Bombyx mori: one gene and its partners. The protein of the gene in region 1 interacts with the protein of each later gene in a pairwise test. Links are inferred from orthologs where the notes say so. Each region holds a gene or a part of one and is shown on either strand. Other genes may lie near its edges.

Region 1 (4,274 bases):
TTCAATTTCCAATTATATGGTTATAAAAGGCTCATGCAAATTGGAATACATGAATACTTTGCAAAAATAGGTTGGGCTCACAAGAGACCTCTTCCTTATTGCCAGTTAATAAACAATATTATTCCTTCATTACGGAATTAATTCATTAGTACATATATTCATAGAAAAATCATTAACTGCCTGCGGGTTTTGAACACAGGCATATTTCGATACAAGATAACCAGGCATCTTGGCCTTTAGGCCAAAAATCCCTTCATAAAAACTATTACAGAAACAGACTTAAGGTGGAATATCTAAATAATTCCTTGAGGTGATTAGTGACATTCATATCTACAACATTGTGAGAAAAATACTAATAACATTATAGATTTACTGGTGGTAGGACCTCTCCGTGCAGGTAGATACCACCACCCTGCCTATTTCTGCAGTGAAGCAGTAATGCGTTTCGGTTTGAAGGGCGGGGCAGCCGTTGTAACTATACTGAGATCTTAGAACTTATATCTCAAGGTGGGTGGCGCATTTACGTTGTAGATGTCTATGGGCTCCAGTAATCACTTAACACCAGGTGGGCTGTGAGTTTGTCCAATCATCTAAGCGATAAAAAAAAAATAAAAAAAAATATAACAACTTACAAAAGATACACCACTGGGATCTAGCATATACATCTGAGGGCCTTCATAGTCTGTCCATGTGCCCATAACGACTGAGCAACCATATGGCCGAACAGCGCTGTATAGTGTGTATGCGTGCATGTACATTGAAACTCGTTCATTTAAATACTTCAGTGGTACTGGACTGCCATACTGAGATCTGTAGTTTGATGCCTCTGAACGAGCAGTCTCGACAATTTGTCTTGCATCTGATATGAGCCCTGCGACAGCCTGAAAACAGTTTTTATATTGTGAAAAAAAATTAGATAATCTTTAGTGATTGACTTGAATGATTTCTTCAGAGGGATATGGTTACGATTTTTGGAACGAAGTTCCTTATGGGACGATGCGGAGGGGTACCCTAACCGGGAAAAAACGTCCCTAACGTAAGATTTTTATTAGTAATGCACACAGTGTACAACTTAACTTTGTAATAACGTACAAAAAATAACACATTTTTATTATATATTTTTTATAAATCATTGTGAATAAGATAAAGTTGATAACTTTGTTAAGTAGTTTTTATTTATTTTTATCAATAAAAAAATCATAATAAAAAATGTATACCTGAATAATTATTTTCTTTATACCCCGAATAGAACTTAAAATGAATATTTTTATAAGGAACTTCGTTCCTATCCTGTGTCCCATGACACCACACATCTTTTTTTGTTCTTTTCATTCCTTTGTAGGTAGATAAGCATACTACATACTTAATGGTCAGTGACTAACATTGCTCATAAACATAAGCAATGCTAGGAGCACAGTCAAGTCGCTGTTTAATACTGAGTACTCTTCGTACTATGAAGAGTGGGATATTTATATTCAAATATTGCTCAGTCTTAATGACAAACAATTATGGAAGTCACTGTTTTCACTTTGTGATGTCTATGAACTTCAATAATTGTCCACCCATGTTATGGAAGAATCACTACATAGTATAAAACAAAGTCGCTTTCTCTGTCCCTATGTATGCTTAAATTTTTAAAACTACGCAACGGATTTTGATGCGATTTTTTAATAGATAGAGTGATTGAAGAGGAAGGTTTATATGTATAATAAATCCATTAAATAGTGGAGAAATCAATAATAATTTACAGTTTCCGAAGCAAAGCAAGGGCGGGTTGCTAGTAAAATATATAAAAATCATTAAACATTATATAAACACAGTACATATTACTTTTCCTACCAAGTAAAACAAGATTCTATTCTATTAACTGAACATTCAATAAGTTAGTTTGCCTACATATTGTTAGTAGCATCTAGGGTTTGCTTTACCGAAAGTGCTCATAGGGCTTAGTTGGGAGACTTGGCTAATACTAACCCTAGCAAGAGCAGTGCTTAACTGAATCTACCACCAGATGAGAATAGCGGCCTACTGATAAGATCCAGGAAAAAACTCAGCAATCTGTCTGTGAGTTAGTTTGTATGACAAACCCTTCATCGCATTTAATGGATTCACAGAGAATGGTGACTGGTGCTTGGAATGTCTAAACGCACCGATAATAGGATCGAGAGTATCCGAAATGATTAAGCTATATCAATCTCTTTATAACAAATATGTTTAAAAAAAATACTAACATATTCTTGACTATGAATTTATAAATAATATTACTGACCATGCCAACATGTTCATCAATATGGAATATCCTCTTGTTTGCGCCAGGTTCATACAGTTTGGATGTGATTAACTTCTCAACAGCAAATACCACTCCGTCTTTTCCTCGGAGGCCAATTACTGTTCCAGAATTTTCTACAGCCTTTGCAGCATATTCCACTTGGAAAACGCGACCATCAGGAGAAAATTGAGAAGCCGATAGGTCATACTGAAATAAAAAAAAAGCAATGACTGGACAGTTTTGGTTTTTAAAAAAACAAACTTCTACGATGAATCATATATTTTTTAAGAATATTTTTAATGATTTAAACATTGATTATACAGATAAATTTATTGTTTCAAACATTGTACAAAAACCTAAATTGTTGAAAACTTATTGACCTTCTAACCTCTCAAAATGATTTTTACTTACGCCAGTTCCGATAGAACTCATGTTTACGCACTGTTTAATATATTTCGATTTCTACCAAGACAAATACACTAATGTTGGTCCAAAATATAAATTATTGTTCCGAAAAGCGGTATTCGAGATAATCACAATTTGACAGTCATCATTAGGTTCATACGTTCATAAATTGTTTTTGTTGATTTGTACAGTGGACAAGTAAAGGAAAATATGCTCATAAATCCTAGTATTTTATAACAGAAGCCGAGGCTTTCTTTGGGATTTTGCATTAATCTGAAATTATTTTAGAATTAAATCGATAAAAATGAAACGGGATTTTATTCCTGACCTATGCTTTATCAAGCAAGTCATGTCCGGAAATTTTGTTTTATATGAGGCACTTTTATAAATATAGACACTAAAAGGTTAACTAATACCATAGCTATTACTCCACTCTAAAAGTAAATTTAAAAGTATGCTTTCTGATCACAAATAATAGGTAATAAAATTTATCCTTAACGCACTGTTGGTCTAGTACTTAATGTACTTATATCATTGAACATTAATTTTAGTAGGTAAGCCCACTGAGTTTCTCGCCGGATCTTCTCAGTGGGTCGCGTTTCCGATCCGGTGGTAGATTCTGCGAAGCACGGCTCTTGCTAGGGTTCGTGTTAGCAACGTCGTCAGGTTTGAGCCCCCTGAGCTTACCTACTAGTTAAGTTTACGTTGAAATAGCCTCTCAAGGCTCTGCTAGGTAGAAAAAAAAAATAGTACCTAGATACTAAAGCTTTTCGATTGTCTCATGAGTAACACAGATTGTCACGATTCGCGCAAAAATATCAAAATTATTGGATCACTGTAGAATAAAAATAAATACGGTTTTTTCCTGATATTACGTCCATCTGGGTAACTTCAGCTTTCCGTTTAACATTAGCCCACTTACTCACTTTTTACATATATTTATTGTTTTATTTCCAAACGAGATACATTTTACTAGACTTCGAATTTTTTTATCAAGAGGTTTATTATTGAACGAAGAAAGCGCGCCAAAATTTGATATTTGTCAGCAAAACTTTTCTTTCTTGAGGTTGATTGTGAAGTGGTAGGTGGGTGACAAATGAAACATCGCTGCAAAGTTTTTTATATTCACACTCAAAAGTTTCATAGAAAGGTAAGTTTGTACTTTTTTTAATAAGTAAAGGTTGCAGATGTAGTTTCATAAAAAAATCTATATGATCTTTAAAGTTGTTTACGTGTTTGTCTTGATTTTAATTCGTTTGGTGAATATTTGTGCTAATATGGGTAACTTTAACCCGGGCAAAATTTAAAAATAAGCCGATGATTGCGTCAAGAACATGCACAAATAGCCCTTCGAGAACAGCTAGAAGCTTTCACGGTGACTAACCTTCCTATTACTAGTTTTTTATCACCTATTCCTAGTCCTTCAAACATAAAATCGACATACTCAGTCGACCTACCTACCAATCAATCATCTTCTATCACCTACCGCTGAATCCTCATTTAATATTGAAGCTACAGTCTTTCGTACGCCACCACCTATTGACGATATCTCATCATTCATGGATCGTGTTACATCATTATCTGAGCAATTAGATTTGGA
Region 2 (3,657 bases), on another chromosome or scaffold:
ACTAAATCATATTGTTTCGTCAAATTTATTAAATGTAAACAAACGTGATTCTATAAACATGAGTGTAAAATCAGTAAAAGTTGGTAACTATGTGACTAATTGTTTAATTGACACAGGTAGCGACTTAAATTTAATAACTTTTGATTTGTTTACAAAACTAAAATGCGAGTACATACCAGAAAAAATGTTGCTTACTGGGTTAGGAAGCTCTAAGGTATATTCGATTGGTAAGTTCGACACAGATTTAACTATTGACAGTCACAGATATAGTATTAATTTGTATATTGTACCTACAGGTGGAATACCATATGATGTAATACTGGGTCAACAATTTTTAGTAAATACTATCACAGTTATTGACAAGGGTTTGGTTGAGGTCAGGCCTCCTTGTTATGACATATCGTATCAAAATGCTATCTGTCTATCTTCTAGTAGCAATGACCAGTGTACAGCGGTGAGGGAAATTATTGACAGTTACACACCTTTGAAGACTAAAGATGCACCTATCAGGCTGAAGATTGTGTTGAAGGATGATGTACCAGTTTCACAAAGACCAAGACGACTAGCCATCACTGAAGAACAGTTAGTTAAGCAGCATGTTGATGCATTGAGCAGAAACATACTTTTCACTGACCGAGGTACAGCATTCACAGGCAGTGAGTTCCGAGAATATTGTGAAGAAGAAGACATCGAACATGTTACAATCACTACTGGAATACCTCGTGGAAATGGCCAAGTAGAACGCATGAACAGTATTATTATTTCTGCGTTGACAAAGATGTGTATTGAAGAACCTGGTCACTGGTACAAATATACAAGCAAACTACAACAAGTGATAAACAGCACATACCAGCGGGCAATCTGTACTACGCCATTCGAACTGTTAACAGGAGTGAAACTTAAACTGAAAGAAGATTTATCAATTTTAGAATATTTAGAAGAAGAAAATAGATTGCAATTTATGAATAGGAGAGAAGAAGCACGAAGAGAAGCCAAAGCTCAAATTTTAAGAATGCAAGAGGAGAATAGAAAGACTTATAATAAACGACGTAAAGTAGGAGAAATGTACAAGGTTGGAGATCTTGTAGCTATTCAAAGGACACAATTTGGGAACGCCCTAAAATTGAAACCTAAATTTTATGGACCATATCGCATCACTAGGGAAATGGGGAAAGGTCGATATGAGGTCGAAAAAATAGACAGAAGCAAAGATGGGCCAGTACGAACTACATCAGCATTAGATTTCATGAAGAGGTGGCCTTGACTCAATCTAACTCTGGTCTGAGTGTTTAGGTGCATTGTAACACTACACTGTTTGTTTATTTTAGGTTGATCTAGTATTTACATTGCTCATTTTGTTATTGAATAAGTAACTGTGAATAATTATTATGCATTGCTGTTCTCTGTGTCATTGTAACTTGTTTGCCTCTAAACTGATAGTTTAAACCTACTGTTTTTGTTGTGTTATGTACTAAGTAAGAGTAATTACTATTTGTTTTTATTAGCTGTGTGCAGAGTTATAGCATGATTGTTTGTAATAGGTAGTATAAGGTTTAACTAAAAATATTTTTGTAGCGTTATTATTGTGTAAAAATGTTTAGAAAAAAAAAAAATTTGCATAGTAGTAGTATTAGGTAAATTAAGGTAAAGTTAGAGATTTTATTTTTGTTATTTTTATTTTTAATTCATAAGAACTATTTTATTATCTCAGTACTTTCAGTCTGAGGCCAGACTGATGTGCAGGAAGGCCGAGTTGTAGGATTTAATTATTTAATTATTACTAACATTTCTAATTATTGTAAAACATTTCTGAACGAGTGAAAGATTCTGAACGCATGATGTGTGAAAGGGACGGATGTAGCTCTAGTTCGCTCTCTCGCACGACGCCGCCATTAGGAGTAAGACGTGTTCAAAGTGCTCTCTAAGAATTAAATAAAAAGTATTGTGAAACCCTAGAAAAGAGTATTTCATTTAGACCCACACCTACATATATATATATATATATATCAAAATTTACTTGGTACATTAAATTGGTCTATATAATTATGTTCTCATAATCACATCAAGCTAGATAGGTTGTGACCGCATTTGGCTGTAAAGTGTCAAATATTCATCTCTTTTGTGATATATATATTAATGGAACTGGCACAGAGAGAGAGAGAACATACTTTATTGTACACCAAAACACAATTAACATTAGAAAACAGTCAAGAAGTAGATTTGTACAATAAATAGGTAGGCACATACTTCCAGAAGTCAAAAGATCTCCAAGGCTATGATGGATGTCCGGATCCGACATTTTTCTGTGATGCAAAGTAGAAGCTGGAGGGCTCCTACGATTTAAGCCTTCTAAACCCGCCACAGAAGTTTTCTTAGTCCTGGCGACCCTTTGTACCCTGTAAATGTGAAAATCAAATTGATATATTGTTTCCTGTTATGATGGATGATTTTATGATAATAAATGTGAATTCTAATCACATAAAAAGAGGCAATAATTAATGGAATATTTAGATTTATAAAAAAAAACATAATTTGAATTCTTACCGTGTGCTGTGAGCGGGGGGTAACTGAAAAACTTGCGCGTCGTATGCATCATAATCAAATATAGAATTGTGCATACATTCATCTTCTTTCAACAATTTACCTTTCCTCTCATCTTCATACATTTTACGTAATGGTTCTTGGCTCTTTCGTGGAGGCAATTTAATTCTTGGTATGAAATTGGAATAAGCCACTTTTTTATTTGTAGAATAAAATGATAGATTAATCCAATGTGGCATCGAATAATCATCAATTGAATTCAAATTATTGTCTTTATTGTGGAACTTTAGTAAAGGCACAGCATGCAGAGGTTGTTCTCCTACACAAACTAAGTCACTGCCAACACCATTGTCAATGATTCTTTGTTTTGTAACATTAGTCAGTTCTCTGTCGACTTCAAATACACCTACTCCTGGGGTTATTACCACACTCAGCTGCCCCGTTCTGTCGAAACATCTATCCAGGTAATGTTTTTCGAATACTGCAAAAAATAACAGGGATAATATTTGTTTTAGCTTTGATGGTTCATTAGAGATCCAAGGGAGTCGATGGAGTGAAAGTAAAAAGACAATGATGTCACGGTTCATTTTTAAGGATTTATTTTGTGTTAGATTTTTTTAATTTGTCAAGATCTAACTTATTAATTTGTGTGGGTTACTCATATCAAACAATGCAACTATGGAAGTGTAGAAAACTTGCAGTTGACTTCAATTATTCTAAATAAATCATTATGTTACAGGTGTTCGAACACACCACTTTGTGAAACTAATCTCAAATATCATTTAAGGATAATTACACTTAGTAGGGTATTGTGAACCAAAAGATCATATGTGGTATTGGTAGGTACCACCATCTTGCCTATTTCTGCCGTGATGCAGTAATGCGTTTCGGTTTGAAGGGTGGGGCAGCAGTTGTAACTATACTGAGACCTTAGAGTTTATCTCAAGGTGGGTGGCGCATTCACGATGTAGATGTCTATGGGCTCCAGTAACCACTTAACACCAGGTGGACTGTGAGCTCGTCCACCCATCTAAGCAATTATCAAAATGAGTGGCACTGTTTACGTTGTATCTATGGACTCCATAACTAATAATATCATCTAGAGTGAGTGCTAGT
Region 3 (4,359 bases), on another chromosome or scaffold:
AGAGGCGGGTAAAATTTAGCGTTATGCCAAAGTAACTATTCCACGCAGACGAAGTCGCGAGCAAAAGCTAGTGTGAAATAAACAAAAACATTTTGCACTGTTTATTTTCATGAAATAATCCACAATTTTATACGACACCCATCTAGATATAGACAGGTACATTCATAAATTCATAATTTAATTATTTTACTCCCTTATTCACAAATATTATTAACAAATTAATATTATTTTGTACATTGTACAAATCAAATGCTAATAAACCACCATACTCATTCATTTAAATAAAATCCAGTCAGAAATATAAAAATACTGTAGAAATAATTAATGTCAATATGATTTATGAATAAGGGAATTTATCTTATTTTAGGTCTATTACGTTTTAAAATCCCATAGCAAAATGGCAATAAAATAAACCCTGATAATTTCAGCAGCCTATCTATCTGTATGTATGAAACAGTGAATTAAATCTGAGATTGGTATTTAATATATGAAATTAGAAAATTAGGTACTATTTATGGATACAATAATAATTATGTGTACAATAACAAACAAAAGATAGGCGATTTTTAATTTATGCATCCATGCAGATGAGGAATGAACAAAAACAGGTCTGTGTATCATATAGGTGTTAAAAAAAAATGAACAAAAACAGGTCTGTGTATCATATAGGTGTTAAAAAAAATAAGTTTCTAAATGTCTTATCTATGTTAGTAGTTGTTCGAAACAATCTATAGTCATCCCTGACTAAGCAGCCTTCGCTGTGTACAATCTCACAAGCATTTACTCACTTTTATAGTTTGCATTGTTAAGAAAATTAATGAACACAATAGCTGTGTCTATAAAGAGTATACAGATTTTAGAAAATTACTAATTTAAATTACAAATTGGATAATCCAAAATTAAATATGTAAAATCATTAAAATTGATTTCTTGAAAGCTATGTCACAAGAGCTTAATACACATCTACAGAAAATGATAGAATTCTATACCTATATTTTTTTAACATTAAGATTGATATATTTATATACTAACCTACATTAGGTATTAATGGATAATATTCCTAAAGAATTTTAAACTTTTAAAAATTACTTTATTTTTGTGACTTAAAAACAAGCTCTTGCTCCATGCTTCACGGTTACTGAACAATACACCTGAATCAACGATTATAGTGAGACATTCTTCATTCTACATTTTTTTCAATGAACATTATTATACTAACGTACATAAACAACCACTGCTTATAGTTTAAGTCTACAGTAAGAATATTGACATATAAACTATAAACTATATTCATTATTTAGGTTGAAATATACAATTTAGCAAAAGCTATTTCAAATAAAATCAACACAGAATTAAACACATATTACAGCATTTTTTTATCTTTCTAATTTAAAATTTACTTAAGTATATTACAAACAGTGCATTCTACAAAGTGAGAAATTAAAATTACGGTCCAGTGTCTGCTTCTGGTTCTTCTGTCGACATGGCCCTCGGGGGTGTGTTATGTGTATTTAACTGTGAAAATACTTCTTTCTCACCAAGAGCAAGAGGGTCGGGTTGAGTGACAGGAGAGGTTGCATAGTCCATCATGGGCGATGGAGATGCAGGTCGCACCACACTTCCTCCACTTGCCTCTTGCTCCTCTAAGAACCTATCCATGTAATCAGTGTGACCAGGATGCAAAGTATACTTTTTCTTCTCCAATCTAGCCTTATTTGCAAATATATCATGCCTTTCAGTTTTTTTCCAAATATAGTAGAATTGGACGAGTTCTCCGACAGACCGAGTTCGTACTTTGTTCTGCCTTATCAAGTGAAAGTCTTTTCCGTGTGCTTTTAGGCCATTTTCAAAATTTCGGCATTCTTCTTCTGACCAAAGACTTGCGTGAGGTGGAGTTTGTGCAGAAATGCGTTTCCGTCTCAAGGCTTCCTCTGCATTGTGGCCACATTGTTGCAATAAGTACAGGGCCTCTTCATCATCACGAAGCTGTTTTCCTTTTGGAATTAATTCAATCCCGGTGCCTAAATTCAGAGCACACACTTTTCGCATGTACTCTTCAGTGATTCTTTCATCAAGAATAGAAGGATTCCATAGTAATTTATCTTCATTTTCATAAGGTAATGCATCATCATAGCTGCATAGACCCTCAGGTATAGCAGCTTGATAGTCACTACCAACCATTATAGTTTTTTTCCAGTCTTCCTCATCTGGACTGTAATCATAATCATCTTCCTCCTCAGAGGGAGGCCTTGAGCCAGACCGAAGGCATCTAGTAGCTTCAGGGTTTGCATTCTCATTGTATAATTGGGAAAGGGCAGATTCATTTCTCTCAGTCCTCTCAGCCCTCTCCGTTCTCTCAGTTTCCTCAGGAACTACTTCTGGAACTTGGTCAGGAATTGGCTTTTCCATGTTTCTGTCGTAACCGTACAGAGCCAGGAGTTCCTCTAAAGGCATATCTCCCTCCTTCTGAAGGCTATTGAGCTCGGCCTTAGGGTCCTGTTGCTCGCCTGCAGCTAAAGCTTCTTCTTCGTCTAAAGTTCTCTCGTCATCGAAATCATTGACCATCATATCAACAGTAGGCTCGAATAGAGACTTGTCGCTCCCCACATCCATGCTCGCATCGTGTTCGCTTACATTGGTAACCAGCGCGCAATCTGACATGACTAATACAGTAACAAGTTGGATGAAATTTTAACTTCATTAATTATGATAAATAGTCTTTAGGTGTAACAAAATGTACGGTTTGTAATAAAAGTAAACATAAAACATTAGAATAATAACACAATAACCGATTATTTTATTAAATATTCCAAGAACAAAACAAAAATATTTTGACACGACAACCACAATGTCAAATTACTTTTTGTGGGTCGTTTTGTTTTTCTTGAAAATCAGGCAAGAGGACGTTGACCATACAGCTAAGCTTTGCAATAATTACAAAATTCATTATTTTCAACGGGTATGTAAAGCCAATGTTTTTTTTTAAATGGAGTATTATAGTAGAGAATATCTAAGTAATATTTAATAATTCTTGACTTAAGTAAACAAACGACGTCTACAGATAGATCTTAAATAATGCACTTAATATTTGAGGAGATAGGTTGTAAAGTTATCGCGATGTATATTTTGTCAAAAAAACACATACATTTGTCAAATATCAATCAATGTCAGAAAAGTTAATTCTAAGCGCGGTGATCATATTATTCGTTGTTGTGGCTTAATGCAAAAAAATAGATTTTTATTGGAAAATGTTGCTTGGTTACATATTGACTGCAATGAAATATTTATAATATTACAGTACATTTATGTAATTTACAATGTTTCTTAAGCTTCTTATTTTTATTGTAATTGTAAAATGTACGCACAGTTTTTCCGATGTCGGAAAGTGGGATTTGGAACTTAGTGGCGTAAGTTTAAATAAAATTTCAGTTTAATTTCATAATTATCTTGGGTAGCTGCGGTAGTTAGATAAAAATAATAGATACAGAAATAGTATTGAACGTGTCGTCAGAATTGAGTGATTGAAAAAAAAAGAGACGATAATATTGTCACATCTTTACTTAGTGTACGTTCATGAAAATAATAACCTGGTATAGCTGCAACATAGTCCAATCAAACATGATTTTCAGTTAAAACTGTAGATTTGGCTCCCTTTAGCCTTGGCCCAAGCCAAAAGCTGTGAAACTAAACTAATAATTAACTGTAATAACTGTAAATAACAATCATATCTTAATGAGAACAAGGTCCATGTACTTATATTGAGGATGAAACTCTGCCAGGGTTTGAAACATACTACAAGCAGTAATCTTACAATATTCTTAACAAATATTATTAAATAGCTTCAAAACTTTAGAAACCAATTGATCTTATCCTCAACTGGGAGCAGCTGTGTCATAACAGATCTATTGTCTATACCAATAATTTAAATACCTAAGTATAGATTTTAGTTACCCAGTTATTATGGGACATATGGAAAGAAAAGAAGTTAGCAAAAAGAAGAAAAGAAAGGAGATAAGATTAGACTAGGTTAGGATAAATCTAGCCCAAGATAAGACTTGCTGTTTGACAAATTACCTTTTATAGGCATTAAGTTGCCAATTTGGTTGCACCACCATAGGGATGTAATCTGATCTACTCTACTTGTGAAATCTGAACCACCCAAGTTCCTATCAAACCATAATATGCCCAGTAATGCAATATACTTTTTGGTTTCAGGATGATTGTCATTTCACATTAGCAAAGTCATTATTTAAGAATACAAAGCTTATAATTGCAAGTAAGTATTACTTATTAATGCTCTTAAAATAAGTGACAAACAAATCTGTTATAAATCAACTACTACAAATTTCTTAAATCAGA

The links.
Region 2: the proteins of proteasome alpha 3 subunit (region 1) and GATOR complex protein Iml1 interact in a two-hybrid assay, tested with the Caenorhabditis elegans proteins (2 studies listed by BioGRID). The link is inferred for Bombyx mori from reciprocal best matches to the Caenorhabditis elegans genes pas-7 and depd-5.
Region 3: the proteins of proteasome alpha 3 subunit (region 1) and mesoderm induction early response protein 1 interact in a two-hybrid assay, tested with the Caenorhabditis elegans proteins (2 studies listed by BioGRID). The link is inferred for Bombyx mori from reciprocal best matches to the Caenorhabditis elegans genes pas-7 and T07F8.4.

What each region holds. Positions count from the first base shown.
Region 1 is NC_085124.1:6,958,104-6,962,377, forward strand, and holds the start of proteasome alpha 3 subunit, read right to left. Parts: upstream 2,814-4,274; 5' UTR 2,702-2,813; coding exon 2,681-2,701; intron 2,477-2,680; coding exon 2,270-2,476; intron 882-2,269; coding exon 633-881; intron 1-632.
Region 2 is NC_085116.1:10,881,160-10,884,816, forward strand, and holds part of GATOR complex protein Iml1, read right to left. Parts: intron 3,023-3,657; coding exon 2,545-3,022; intron 2,397-2,544; coding exon 2,248-2,396; intron 1-2,247.
Region 3 is NC_085118.1:3,183,046-3,187,404, reverse strand, and holds mesoderm induction early response protein 1, read right to left. Parts: upstream 2,873-4,359; 5' UTR 2,662-2,872; coding exon 1,447-2,661; 3' UTR 87-1,446; downstream 1-86. Other genes in the region: transmembrane protein 87A, read left to right, coding at 3,318-3,407, 4,216-4,276.